Lepisosteus oculatus: one gene and its partner. The protein of the gene in region 2 binds, or shares a complex with, the protein of the main gene of each other region. Links are inferred from orthologs where the notes say so. Each region holds a gene or a part of one and is shown on either strand. Other genes may lie near its edges.

The links. Proteins that work in one complex are often made in the same cells at the same time.
Region 1: the proteins of plod3 (region 2) and procollagen galactosyltransferase 1 are in contact, whole or in part, in a cryo-EM structure (PDB 8ZGE), measured with the Homo sapiens proteins. The link is inferred for Lepisosteus oculatus from reciprocal best matches to the Homo sapiens genes PLOD3 and COLGALT1. Residues at the interface, in NP_001075.1 of Homo sapiens: Leu226, Val229, Val230, Leu231, Lys232, Phe233, Asp234, Arg235, Arg241, Gln261, Tyr264, Leu265, Pro275, Gly430, Ala431, Leu432, Arg440, Glu442, Glu446, Arg452; in NP_078932.2 of Homo sapiens: Ala36, Tyr37, Phe38, Pro39, Glu40, Glu41, Arg42, Trp43.

What each region holds. Positions count from the first base shown.
Region 1 is NC_090706.1:18,192,210-18,199,765, forward strand, and holds the start of procollagen galactosyltransferase 1, read right to left. Parts: upstream 3,012-7,556; 5' UTR 2,890-3,011; coding exon 2,672-2,889; intron 1-2,671. UniProt on the Homo sapiens protein: Beta-galactosyltransferase that transfers beta-galactose to hydroxylysine residues of type I collagen. By acting on collagen glycosylation, facilitates the formation of collagen triple helix. Also involved in the biosynthesis of collagen type IV.
Region 2 is NC_090698.1:6,905,616-6,912,447, reverse strand, and holds the start of plod3 (multifunctional procollagen lysine hydroxylase and glycosyltransferase LH3), read right to left. Parts: upstream 3,021-6,832; 5' UTR 2,849-3,020; coding exon 2,758-2,848; intron 1,373-2,757; exon of another isoform or gene 1,198-1,372; intron 1,124-1,197; exon of another isoform or gene 957-1,123; intron 795-956; coding exon 703-794; intron 432-702; coding exon 295-431; intron 1-294. UniProt on the Homo sapiens protein: Multifunctional enzyme that catalyzes a series of essential post-translational modifications on Lys residues in procollagen. Plays a redundant role in catalyzing the formation of hydroxylysine residues in -Xaa-Lys-Gly- sequences in collagens.

The sequences.
Region 1 (7,556 bases), on a different chromosome or scaffold from region 2:
ATAGGAAAGAGACTCAAGGAGACAGCAGCTGAAGCAAGACGGCAAAGGTACAAGTAGAGAAGAATTCCAGGGGGGAAATTAAACAAAAGATTAAAATGACTTTTCCCAGCCCAAATAAACCTCTAGTTCTTCCTTAGAGCAAGGAAGGCTGGGTGCATTTGATTCTGGGATCTAAAGGACAATTTCTTTGGTTAATCTAATGCCCAGTGAAGGGGGGAAAAATCAGGTTTGTCCATTCATAATATCTGGGCTTGGCGACAGTTCTGCGGCGTGAGATAACTACCACTGGGTCTTTTATTCCACTGTAATTACACGCTGGTTGCTGAAGGCAAAGCACCACAGTTCTGCCAAGCAAAAAGTAAACACGGTCTACATGGCATTCCAACAGTCCAGTCCGAACCACAAACACAGGGACTGAGTGAGGAAACCTTTAGTTTATAAGACCTGAACTTTCACACCTTGTCTCACCTGTGTTCCACCCTATTCACCACATCATCGCAGATACTGCAAAACACTTGAATTGTCGAAAACAGCCAGTTCATTTTAGAAGGAAGTTAGCTACAGCAGGGTTTCACAATGCTGGTTCTGGAGACCCACAGACTGCTACACTGCGTTCCACTAAGCACAAATAACTAACCAAACAAAAACCTAACAATAGGTTCAATTCAAACTCGAATCGTTTTCAGGTCCTAAGCAGGCAGGAGGTTGCCTTTTAACTACTGCGTTGCGCAGATCAAAACAAAACTTTTGAGTAGAAAACTAAACTTGGAAAAGTTCTAATCAAGCAGTTGGATTGTTGGATTCATTAAAGAACTCACCTGCGGTGAATCCAGCAGGTTTGTGGGTCACCGGGACCAGGATTGGATACCCCTGTCCTATATTCCTAAACTTTGATTATTTCGTACATTCATAGACATATAACTATTGTATCTATATTACGGAAAGTGATAAGCAATTAGGTGATAAGCTTATTGCCTTCAATACGAACTAATTAGCATCCTCATCAACATTTCAAACATGCCAAACGACACGAAATCGACCGAGTGTATTTTACACAGTCCGTCTCCTCCGCTTAACACGTTTCAACTACTCACGGATACAAACACGCCAATACTTTATTCTACCGCTGTCACCAAAGTATTAGTCATACCAGGTGCGTTAAACTCGAGCAAAAGTTAAAATTTCACATTTTGGAGCATTTCCAATTTTGGAGCATTTTTTTTAGGGTTTGCGTTAAACTCGAGCAAAAGTTAAAATGTAAACTTCTGGAGCATTTCCAAAGAGGTCCCGCGATTTACACGTAGGCGACGTCGCGGATTCGCCTGAATGGTAATGAAATCCTCCTGCGTCTGAGGCTTTCGAAACGTTTGCCCAGCGCACTGTAACTGAAACGAGGGATTGTTTCCATTATGTAGTTCATATAAACCTGCAATGGGTTTTACTCTGCTTCTGCCGCAAACCAGAAAACCGTTTTAGAAAAATTAAGAGGTGGATCGCCTCCAAGTCACACCGACGGACGCTCGGCTGAGACCTTATTAAAATGAATGGTTAACGCCTGGAGTCATTTATATTGGAGGGCTGCTGCTGGAAACTTTTAAGGTTTTATTTGAATACCGCTCGCCAGGGTGACGTCCTGGTACATCAGCCTTTCTACGTTCCTGTTTTAAGTACAGTAAAAGTGTGCCTCTCATATGATCGTTGTACGTCGACATTCCTCTTTTCAAACAGCCTGCATGTGTCGTTTTTGTCCTCCCCAAAATATTTTACTACTATAAGGAATATCGGTCCTAAGAAGTTCTCTTAAATTCCCTCTCGTTGACACGATCGTATAGACTTATCAACGGAAAAGTCTGCAAATCTGCACTGTTCACCTCATCACGAAAGGACGGAGTGAAAACGGTGCCTTTTTTCCAGGTTCTGAACATGTATCGGCCTGGTTTTTTAATAACTTAAAAAGGAGCTAAAAGCAGCTGCTCCGATGCGCAAGAGCACGGATGCGCTGTTCCCCTCAAGACAGCTTGTGAGATGATTCACACGTAGATACACAGCCCCCGAGGGAAAAGCAAAGCGATCCGCTAAAATCCACTGCACTTAAACTCTATTACCTTCAATTACTAAATCATACATCACATTTCGATGCTCAACTACCACACTTGCTCAAGTTACTACAGATACAGCGAGGAACTGAGAATTATATGGTAAACTACAGTAATCTGTTATTGCATGTGGACTACTAAACTTTTTTTAGTTACTTCACTCACGCGTTAACAGATATGCAGGCACCTAACTTTTTATCTGGACTGTGCTGTTTCACAAAAACCACTTTCTATAACGTAACTCCCAGACACTACAAATGCTGCCCGCGATGCATTAACGAGTTTCTGATAACTGCGAGATAACTTTAGAAAAAGATCTTAGGAAAAGTTCGAGTCACCCAATTTCGTGTTTATTAAAAAGTCATGCATGTGGCATAATTTCCCTCGCTGATACTATAATACTCAGCTAGGACAGTGGATCTCACCAGCCTGCAGTGATGTGTCAACAGCATTCCAACATTTGAGCAAAAGTTTTCATCTTACAACTCCAAGAAACCCGCATCTCCTTGCATTTTCACTCTGCTTTACTACATAAAACAAAACCTTTTTAAAACGCTCTCCGGTTTCGGGCTTACCACAGGGCAATCCGGTCTTTGGGAAAGTTGAGGCGCTCTATAGTCGCCAGGAAGTGCGGCAGGGAGTGAGCCGAGTTGCGGCAGATGAGAGCGAGGAGCACCCTGGGTGCGAGCAGCGGGGACTCGGGGCTCCAGCGCTCTTCGGGGAAATATCCTCGGGCCGGCCCAGGGATGAGAAGCGAGAGCAGGGCAGGCAGCAGAAAGGGGAGCCGGAACATTGCAGACGAGGGTTTTGGGGAGGAAATGCCAGCAGGGAGACGCACAGCAAACGGAGAGTAAGGTTGACGAAAACGTTATCCCCGATTTACTGACCACCGACAAAAATACAACGCCGCAGAGCGTTTTTTTGGCGTTAAGGGGGAAGACGTTATTAAAGGGGAAAAAAACTTCCTTAAAGGGGAAGTTCGGCTATTTTACGTTTTGTGTGTGCAGATAAAAAGAAGTTTCCTTTAAAGGTATTTTATCCACCTCAAGTGGAAACGGTATGTACTAAGACGGAGAAGAGAGAAGAGGTATGGTTTAGTTTGTGGAGTAAAACACTGTCAGTCATTTTTAAGTATTATTTTCCAATACAAATTCATTAACACAGCTCCTCCTTACATACATCAGCCTTGAGCGAAAGACACGACACCATCATTCCATATAGGACCCATAGGAACCAACGAACTCCAGGATAGGTTTTTTGATGCCAGACGTCTGTCTTACTAACTCAAATCTTTAAAGGATTTTGTTGCATAGACAGATCGGAAGTACCGACCGGGAGCCAAATGATATCCAGAGTAAATAAAACGTTCGTTTTAAAGTAGAACCTAAATACCAGAATTAACTTCACAAGGTGCTTCTCCTTTAGTGTTCATGTTACATTATCAAAACATACTCAGGCGCTGAATCTAGGATCAACTTTATTTTTTAATACAAGAAGCGGCATTTCAAAATCTCTTTAATTTTATCCCTCCCTTTAAGAGAATCCAGGTGCAGATCGCGGCGTTAAATTGGAATGTGCCAGAACGTTCTGTGGGCGTGGCGAAGGCAGCTGATTGGACACTTAAGGGCTGAAGAAGGTCTGGGTGGGATGGGCCACTGTAGGCGCAGTCGTATTAGTCCCAGTAGAATAATAAACAGGCACAGCATTGGACTGTTAGTGAGTGTGTATTCGTAGGTATTTATGAACAAATCACAGGGCTTGATTGTTTTTGTTAAAAAAACCTTTCCTATTAAACGTTCTTTTGATTAACTAATCCCTTCTTAGTTTTCCGTTCAACTTAGAATATTAAAAACCTCTCCAAAAGCTGTTAAAATCTTAATTACAAAATTACAGATCTATAAAAGAGGAATTCTGAAAACAGGGACATAGCTTCGGTTTAATTTGTTTACACATAAATCCGAAAACTGAGCTGGACTCTCCCTGAAGTTATTTTAAGAGAATTGCTTGTTTTTACACTGGACGAAAATACTTTGCGAGGTAAGAAAGTTGTCAGCATTCACTGAGCCAATATATACAAGGTACATCCTCAGGCAGGGGTCATGCTAATATTGTATTATTTTTATTGTAGACCTGGAACAAGTTAAATGTGAACACTTTTTGTGGGTGATTTGTTAAAGTTGTAATTCAGAGATGCATGTGGAACACAAATCAGAATACCCATCAGCCCTCAGGGTCCCGAGCTCCCTTTATTGATCAATTTCTCACTTGTTGTCCTCACCTTTAATAACAGGGGATTAAGGGTGACCTGTAAGACTGATGGGTTGGGGCTCCTCAGGACCATAATCTTTGGGGATCTTTGACCTTGATAACCAATAATAAAAGATTCTTACAAAAAATAATGAGGGTCATTCAAAAAATGAAATACTGTAAATAGGAGTTTCTATCGAACCACTGCTCACTCAATACAAAATAAAGCAGATGTTTTCAAAAAATAATTCCTTACACTTAAATGGCACTTTTCTGGACTTTCCACTCAAAGCGCTTTACAGGTAATGGGGACTCCCCTCCACCTCCACCAATATGTAGCCTCACCTGAATGATGTGACAGCAGCCATATTGTGCCAGTACACTCACCACACGTCAGCTATCAGTGGGGAAGAGAACAGAGTAATGAAGACAATGTATAGATGGGGATTATAAGGAGGCCATGATTGGTAAAGGCCAGGAAGACATTTTGGCCAGGACACCAGGGAAACAACCCTATTCTTTTCGAGAAATGCCCTGGGATTTTAATGAGTCGGACAGCGAGTCAGGACCTCGGTTTTACATCTCATCCAAAGGACAGCGCTGGGGCTTTAAGACCCACACAGACTGCCCCTTCTGGTCTCACTTACACCTTTCCCAGCAGCAACAGCAGTTTTCCCAGAAGGTCTCCCATTCAGGTATTGGCATTGACTAAACTCACACCTGCTAAGTTTCAGTGTGTTGCTAGTTGTGAGTTGCGGGGTGATATTTTTAAAATCCTTAAATTAGAAGGACAACGAAGTTCCAATGAAATCATTCCCCCAAGGTGTGCCTGTCAAGATTTATTCTAATGGCAGTTTTCTTAAATTTAAAAATATATAATTTCCAAAGCCAAGTCCGTTTTATGGAGAGTTTCCATTAACAGTTTCTGAGCTGCTGTTTAAATCATTTCACTAGGTCAGAGAAAGCTTGCTGCTCCAGTTCCGAGTAAGGACTGGTTTTCGTTCTCATTAGTTGACTCCTTATGTAGGTGAAGAGGAGAGATATGGCTTTAGCCTAATTGTTTTGCAACCCATGTGATTGTAGATTAACAAAGCTTGAGAAGGGTGTGTAAGGGAATGTTTTTCCTGGGTGAAAGTTAGAAAAATTGCACATTATGGTCAAAAATAAAACAGTCAAAAATATTCATCCATCTATCCATTTTCTAACCTCTTCATAAAATTCAGGGTTATGGGGGACCCGGCCAGCAATGAGCACAAGGCAGGATACACCTTGGATGGGGCGCCAGTCCATCGCAGACAGTAGTACATTTGCTAATACTAATTTAAAAATTAATGTTGGTCCACTCCAAAGTGTAATCAATTTATAAATGCACCATTGTATTTAAAAAAAAAAAACTAGGATCCTGAACATTTTATACCAATGCAGTTGAATATCACAGCTCCTGGAAATACTTCAGTGAGTGGATTTTTATGACTTGAAAGTGAAGACAGGGTTCTACTAGACTTCTGTTTATAAAAACTACAGGCTGAGATGACACTTTTGTGTGTCAGCTGCTGTTTCATTACTGTAAAGTTACCTGTAAATGGCTCAGTGAGAATTTTTCACAAATGCAATATTGGCACATTCCAGTAAGCATGTAAACTGTTTTACTGTCAGCTCCTCGACCAAACTGAACAGTAGATCATTCTTCTATCGATGGAGCACATTGGACACTACATGGTGAGAAACAGTACCTGAGAATGCAGAATAAGGAGTTGCTCTCATTCCACTTCACATATGGTCTATATATACTGTATACACACAGCTGGGAAATGTCTGCATTGTAAAGACTACATCCCGCCACCCACATCAGACGATAAGCAGCTGTTCAGATGGCCTAGAATTTACAGTCAGAAATAAAAAAAAATTCTGCAAAGAGGAGCAAAAAAAGAGAAACAAAACTGCAATCCAAATACAAATCTGGAACTGCTGTAACATAATGCCGGCATACTATTTAATTTGCCAGAGAGTGATTCGGATTTTGTCTTCCCACATTCCGTGGTTTTGGACTGCTGCTGTTCTCTGTGATGTAATTATGTCCAGAGCAGTGAATGAAAACATTGGTTAGGAATGAAGCAGAATTCTGTAGAAATTCCAGAGAAACTCGAGCCAGGCTCTGGCAAATACAGTATCATATTAATAGTAAAAAGTTAAGACACATTTGGCATGACTGTCTGAAAAATCAGTTTCTTCTTCAAATTTTCATAGTGTTTTCACTAGATGCCATGTACTAGTTCTGAAACTTCTGGAAGGAAGAGATTGGTGATTTCTAAACCCCTATACCTTTAACAGCTGTTGTTGATATCATCATAAAGATGGTGTGCACTGCCCCACTTTGGCATAATGCTGTATTGCAACTCGCTTGCAGATTGATTATTATGATGGCGTTTTGGTGCTATAAAATGACTGCGAGCCCACCAGCTGTATCTCCAGCATGTTCTGCCATTTTAAAATAACTTACATCTCTTAGGAAGGTATAGGTAGAAATAACGTATTTATTTCAGTCTCTAGTTAGAGATACAGTATGGTTCTATAACCCAAAGTAGAACAGAAGATTAACAATGGAAGTGAACAGCCTGGAGCTTAACTTGACAGTTTGAACAACATCTGCATTTCAGCATTAAACACTGGTTTGACATTTGACTGACTTCACACTCTCAAAGAGACCCGTTATACTGTCAACCGCTAAGCAAAATATTTCAAAAAGTTCAAAAACAGAAAAACAATAAATACATTAAAAATACATTAAAACTGGGACTAAAAGCTTTTTAAGGTACAACAATGTAAAATTCTTTTACAGACATCTTTCTGTTGAAAAGGTGGATCTTTCATTCATAACTCTTGGCTAATGCAACATTTTCAAAACTGTTTTTTTACCTACTGTACATTAGTCATACCTCCCTAAAAGCATGTCTATTTGTATGACTTGTTGATTTCTTGTATAAACCCTTCATTTCATTTTAACTAAATATGGCAAGAGTTTCATTACCATCCCACAACTAATTTAAACAAATAACCCTTCAGCCTGAACAGCAGTGATCTCCCGAAACTTTTGTACATTTCAATTCGAAATGTTTTAGGACATGCAGTTTATTACACTAGGAAATAATAATTTAAATCAGCTCTCAAAAAACAAAGAAACAATTGAAACAAACAACCCAAACTATAAATGTA
Region 2 (6,832 bases):
ATCTCTTTCTTTTCCCCTTTGTCTTTGACGTGGCGTTTCCCACCTCAGCGCTGCCTGGGACCTGCTCGTGAGCTCTCGGCCACACCTCGGCGCCTCATTACACTGACAAAACGCCTTTTCACCCGAAGTGGGGCAGCTGTTGTCTGGGCAGGTAGGACCGGTGTCAGGTTCGGTTACCAGAGCCGCAGACGGGAACAGAGAAAGAGGAGAACGAGCATGTGGACAGGGAGGGGAAGAAACTGGACATTCCAGGAGAAAGAGAGACGGAGAGAGACACATTCGGCATGGCCTGACCTGTCCACAAACATGACGACCAGCTCCGGTCTGTCGGCGTATTTCTGGATCTCCTTCTTCAGCCAGCGTACCTTCTGTCCCCCCCCGACCGTCCGCAACACGTCTCCCCCCCGCCACTCCTCCCCCAGCCCCAGCACCTACGGGTGAGACAGAGCAGAGGGGGAAGGTTAACCACCAAGAGCAGGACGGCGAGACACGAGCTAGAACCGATCACAGTCCCAGACCCCATCCCTAGAGAGGCAGACCACCCCGTCTGAACGCAACACTGGCTTTCCCTCCCGTCTGCGTCGGCTTAGGGCGCCGACACCCGTTCAGTCCATCGCCCCTTGACCCAGCCTGGGGAACAAACTGCCCTCCACCCCTCTACCCCCGTCTTCAAGGGACGGGCTGGGCAGCGCAGGGCCTCACCTTGACGGTGTAGTTAAACTGCCTGCTCGTCCGCATGAAGCGCTTGAACCCGTCCGTCTCCTGGGTGGCCGCTGTGATCACCAGCAGGTTCTCTAGAGGACACAGATCACAGTGCAGCCGATGTTAAGCATGTAGTACGATGCACTTATACACTGCATTCTAATGTACATACTGTTATAGTATACAAATCACATAATACACGGCATCCAAAAGGCACATGTACAATGAGGTGATTGAACCAGAACACCACAGGCTGACTGAATACTCAATCTCCTTCTCCAGCTCTCTGGAAGGACGTCCCCCTCCCTGCGAGTCAACACTCCCAGCCCCACCCCCGTGGGCATGGGGGGATGGCAGGCAAGACTGAGCAAGACCAACCCAAACTCGCCACTGTACCAGAGTCCAGGTGCCGAGATCTCAGGTAGGAGCCACACGGATTTACCCAAACCGGTCAGCGTACGCAATTCTGACATCCTCACGTGCTGTTCCCCACAGTTTGCACGAAGATTCACCACAAATATCCCCCGAGCTCCGGCTCCGCGGCTCCAGAACCGGGCCAAGGAAACGGCACGGACAAAACCCGGCGGTCAGGCTCGGACTCATTTTCATTGTGCAAATCCAGGCCCCACCATCGCACCGATCGAGCAAGGACAGGCCCCCGGTTGAGAAGGTTTCAGAGTGACGAAAGTTGAATATTTTGTTAGAATGTGTACTTATCGTGAGAAGTTCTGGGTGAAATCAACTTTATTCCGATAGGAAAAAACTTTAAGAATGTGGGGTGTCAGCCAGGTTAAGGCTGTATATTGGAGTATAAAACTTGCTACACTGTCTCCAACTCCATCTACCTTTCAGTGGGTATTATTTTGGTAAAAAGCACTTTATCGGTCCTCACAATGGGTCAAATTCTTTTTCATTTACAGATGAAAGAGGCCAGCAGCCCCAGGGAGAGAGCCCTTATTTCTGCTTTTTAAATTTTTCCTCCCCACAGTAACGGTCAGAAAGCGGGAACCACGGTCCATATCGCTCAGTTCTCATGGGAAAACCCGGAGATGAACCCAGCTGGGGGCTGGGGAGAGCGCCTTTGTAAGGGAGAGATCTTAGAAATCCCGATTCTGATTTTTGGTTCTAAACCACTGCGGCTGTGTGCGTTGTCTGCTTGGTCTCGGTCAAAGGATTTAAAAAAAAATTCTTAAAAAAGTGTCATCTCTCTCATACGTGACTGTGTCCCCGCGCTGCGAGCCCGCGGGTGGGTGGGGGAGCCGTGGGGTCGCACCAGTGAATCAATCGCCGCTTTGTACTGCACCCTTAGGCTGACACCGCAGTGCTTTTCACTCCCTCCGGCGAGCCGACCTGTTAATGAAACCGCTCACGACATTTGCCTGCGCCCCTGCGTTGATGTGTCGAATCCGCCGTTAAGACGTTTTCAAAATTTCTCCAACCCGTCTGGGAAAACAGCCGATCGATTCGATGTCCGTCTTCACTGCTGCGTAGGAACTTGGGATCATAGGTTTTAGTGCTCCCCTCCGCCCAGTTTCCCCAAACAGTTCACTGCTTGTATAAAGCGGTTTGTTTTTCTTTTCAGAGACCAATTACTTTCCAGTGATTGGATAGGAAGAAGATAGCGCTGTGCGGTCGGATCAATCAATTAATCAATCAGTCTTATTGGAGGAATTAGCCGTTTGTTAATGGCACTGAGCTTCTCGGGACCAAGAATCCAGACAGCCCGAGATCCGACCTTATTTTCTCAGATATTGAGAACTCTGGGCGAAAAGCGTACCATGGTGAAATACAACCGAAGTTAACAGCCTTAGCAATACGTACATTTCACAAAAAGAGTCATCTCTTTACCAGAGAATCACCTTTTCTAGCTAGCTTACTGTAAAACGCAGACAGTGCAGTCATACAAGGCGTGAAATAACACAGCTGTAGTGGCCTTGTGTTTTAAAGTTTACACGGCATTAGCGGAGCGGACTGAGATGCCAGTATGCGGGTGCAATTTATAGCGTACTCTTGTGACGGTGCGCTAAACTGTTCATTCCGAGATCACGCTGCTACCTGGAGGGATCGCCTGCGTGTCCGCCGACGCGACATGGTCCGAGATCCCGAGGCAGATCGCACAGATGAGGAAAGCAGAAGTCAGCTCCATTGCGCTGTCAGTCCCTTGCCTTCCCTAATTTTGTCTCGTCTTCCCTAACCCTGTTCTCTCTGGCTCCAGCACACGTCCCCCACTCACTCTCCCTTTAACCCGACGCCCGCAAAGTCTCGCGAAAACTGGCCCGAGCCTAAAAAATGCACCTAAATCCCGACACACGAGACCCGCTCCGGCCCCCTCGGACGAGCCAGCCAATGAGCTGCGCCCGGCCGGTGATTGATGTGCCCGCCACCCAGTCGTAAGAGAGGACCGGAGGAGGGGGGGCGGGGCGACAAGGGGGGGTAGGACAAACTTTCCTTTTATAAAATATGTTTCGGCTGCCTGAATGGAAAGTTCTTGAATAGCGGAGGAGGGTGTCCGAGTTACCTCCCCCGTGCGAGGAAGGGAGTCGGAAGATGAGTGTTGCCACGTCTCAGGAATTGGAACTGGAACTGGGGGGCTAGATTTGGTGGGGAGGGGGGTCCGGGTCCCAGGTCTATTGACGGGATATGCAGAACGACTTCTTCGGACTTGTAATTCACTTTCAATGGGAAACGCCGCAGTTCCCGTTAAGCGTCCGCAGTGATAGTGCTCATTATCTTCATCATCTGCCCCGGTTTTTAATGACCCGTATTTCCACGCTGCCCAGTATTCCTGAATTAGCCCCTGGATTGAAAAGCCTGCCTCTCAGTGTGGAGACACCATGTAACTGACTTGTTGATTTGGAAAGACGGGACCCATCACTGTTACCGGGTGTCCACGTTGTCCTCTAGTTCGTGTGTATATCACGGCCCACGTCACGGATATAGTATTTTTCCGTTGTCCAGTTCTTTTTTGTACTGGCACAACGGCACGCGCTTCTACTGCGATCTGTTATACCTGCTTTTGCTTACACTGTCCTGTATACGATGGCATTGCTCTCGTATCAGTAGCTAATGTAAAATGTAATTAATAATAAAGTAATAATGCGAACAATAAGAAGTATAGCAATAACAACACTAAATATCACGTTACATTAAAGGCACGTTAGAATACCAGATGGGATCCGGAACCGAAATGACGGATCAATTCAACAGAAAAAGCCCCGCTTCTCCAAGCCTGTTTTATCGCTTTTGAATATCGTGATTATTAAGAAGATGAAGTTTATTTTCGTGCGGTGCTCCAGGCTGGCCCAGGCGGCTCGCGCGCCCGCTCTGCTGACCTTTAAATGACCTAACTGGAGCCTTGATTGAAGCGACAACTTGCTTGATTGCAGGTTGTTAGTTGTTGTTGTTGTTGTTGTTGTTGTTGTTGTTGTTGTTGTTGTCCTAGAAACCCCGGGGTTTCGTATTTTGACCTGCGAAACACCATAGACGATAAAAGGCAAGTTTCAAGGCGGATGAAGCGCCGAAGACAGTCGGACGGTTCAGATGCATCCTGTAACTGGGCCAGTGAAGGGTTCAGCCGGGCGACTCAGAGCCGGCCGGGAACTCAAACCAGACGTGCGGGCCTCCGGCACAGCGATAAGGACCCCTGTCCCCAGGGAGGGTCCTTCTCTTGTGATGGTCTGTTGCTCCTAGGAGCATAAGAAACACTGCAGATGAGAGGAAGGGGTGGCCAGTCTACAGGAGCTTGTTGATTGATCCAAGGATCTGCTCCTTCTGCCATCTCATGAGAGAAGACAGGGTTTCGGTTCGGACCGTGTCTGATCCACTTGTTCCTCAAACGTATGAGTACAGAAAAGCCTCCTGTTTGTTTGTTTTTATCAGTTTTCACTGCACTTCGTGTGGATGTTCCCCACTAAACCGCGAGCGTGTGCGCGCGTACACAGGTTATGAAATCAGCGCACATAGGAAATTGAACTGCGCACAAAAAATTAACCCCCCCCCCCCCAAACAAAAATGATAATAATAAAACAAACACGGTCGTCAATTGAAAAATGCGAAATTGACCACATGAGACTGGCTGCGAGAGGCTCAACTTGGCTGTGTGCGTTATTATTATTATTACTACTCGATAATCGGTATCTCTGCTCTCGTAGTCTCGAACCCACTGCTCATGCTCGCTCGACACCCGGTCTCTATGACCGGGCTCGTGGAATCGCCGTCCCAATCTTTTGGATCTCTATGCTTATATTTGGATGACTATATTAACAAAAAATAATTTCAGGTTTACAGTTTTACATAAGCTCAGTTTAGTGCGCACAAGGTTTTGTCACTGGTGAAAAAATTTGCACAGCTTGAAATGTTTGCGCACACCGGCCGTAAAAAATGAGTAGGAACGTCGTTCGTCTTTCTCTGTTGCTTCTGCCAGCGGAGGGCTGGAGAACGATTACGTGGATGAAATGCAGAGAACACTCACATGTGAAAGGTCAGTAATTGTGGCTGTTCCCAGGAATCCCAACTTCCTCCCAGCTGGGAGGTGGGTGGGAAGCCGGGATGATTTATGGTTAACTCCTTCAGCCCCACCGTTAGGAGAGCAGAGCTCACACAGGGAGCACAGCACCTAGAGGAGGGGTGGGAATAAAGACCCACTGACCCCGGGTTTGTCAGCTCCAGTCCTGCCTGGGCAAAGCCACTTCATGGAGTCTGGAGCCAAAGTATGTAAGATCAGATCACTTTATCGGCCCTATACAATTTCTTGCATTAGGAATTTGTCTTTTCACAGACCCCAGCTTGCTCTCCATGAGACACACAGACAGGGAGAGAGCTGTCTCTCTCTGGGCGTCAGAGAGAGAGCTGGGCGTCAGAGAGCTGGGTCAGCCATTTATACGGGGCCCCTGGAGCAGTTGGGGTGAAGGGCCTCGCCCAGGGGCCCAGCAGAGTAGGATTCCTCTGCCGGCCGCAGGATTTGAACCGGCAACCTTCCAGCCACAGGCACAGATCCTGAGCCACAGTCCAACCGCTCCGCCCCATGACCAGTCATGTCAGATGACAACAGCCAAGTTCAATCAGCCTCGTCAGTCAGTAATTTGTCATCATTCCTGATGTCATTTCCTCACCTTAAAACAATAAGCACTATGGGTCAGCCCCTTCTCTCCCTTGCACACGTCCTTTGCACCCCTCCTCCAGCTCTGCAGCTGCCCCTTGGTCACCCCTCAGTACACATGGGGGTCCCAGCCTCCTCGTCCTGCGGCCAGGACGTTGGCCCTCAGCCCTTAAGCCAAACCCACTGAGAGTAAAACACTCTGTAAATTTGTCACCACATTTAGTTCTGGGGTGTTGCTATTCCTAGTGCACATGGGATTGTGATTCAATTTTTTGTGCGCTCGCCCAAAAATCAGGAACCCCCCCAAACAAACATGGAGGGGCTTCTCTGAGCTGTACATGTACTGTATATCACAAGGCTGGGAATTACAGTATGTGCTACCCAGTCCCGCCCTATTGATTAATAATAATAATAATAATAATAATAATAATAATTCCTGACACTTATACAGCGCTCTTCTGGACACTCCACTCGGAGCACTTTACAGGTAATGGGGATCCCCTCCACCACCAGTGTGCAGCCCCACCTGAATGATGCAACAGTTGCCATAGTGCGCCAGAACGCTCACCACACACCAGCTCTCAGTGGGGAGGAGAGCAGAGTGATGAAGCCAGTTCAGAGATGGGGATTATTAGGAGGCCATCATTGGAAAAGGCCAGGGGGAAATTTGGCCAGGACACCGGGGTTACACCTCTTCTCTTTTCAAGAAACGCCCTGGGATTTTTAATGACCACAGAGAGTGAGGACCTTGGTTTTATTACTCATCCGAAGGACAACACCTATTTACAGTATAGTGTTCCCATCACTAGACTGGGGCATTAGGACCCACACAGACTACAGGGTGAGCGCCCCCAACTGTCCCCACTAACACCTCTCCCAGCAGCAACCTCAGCTTTCCCAGAAGGTCTCCCATCCAGGTACTGACCAGGCCCACACCTGCTGAGCTCCAGTGGGCTGCCAGCTGTGAACGGTGATATAGTTGTATAGATTAAGCAGGATTGCCTTTAGTGAATTTTTGTCATGAAAGCGAGC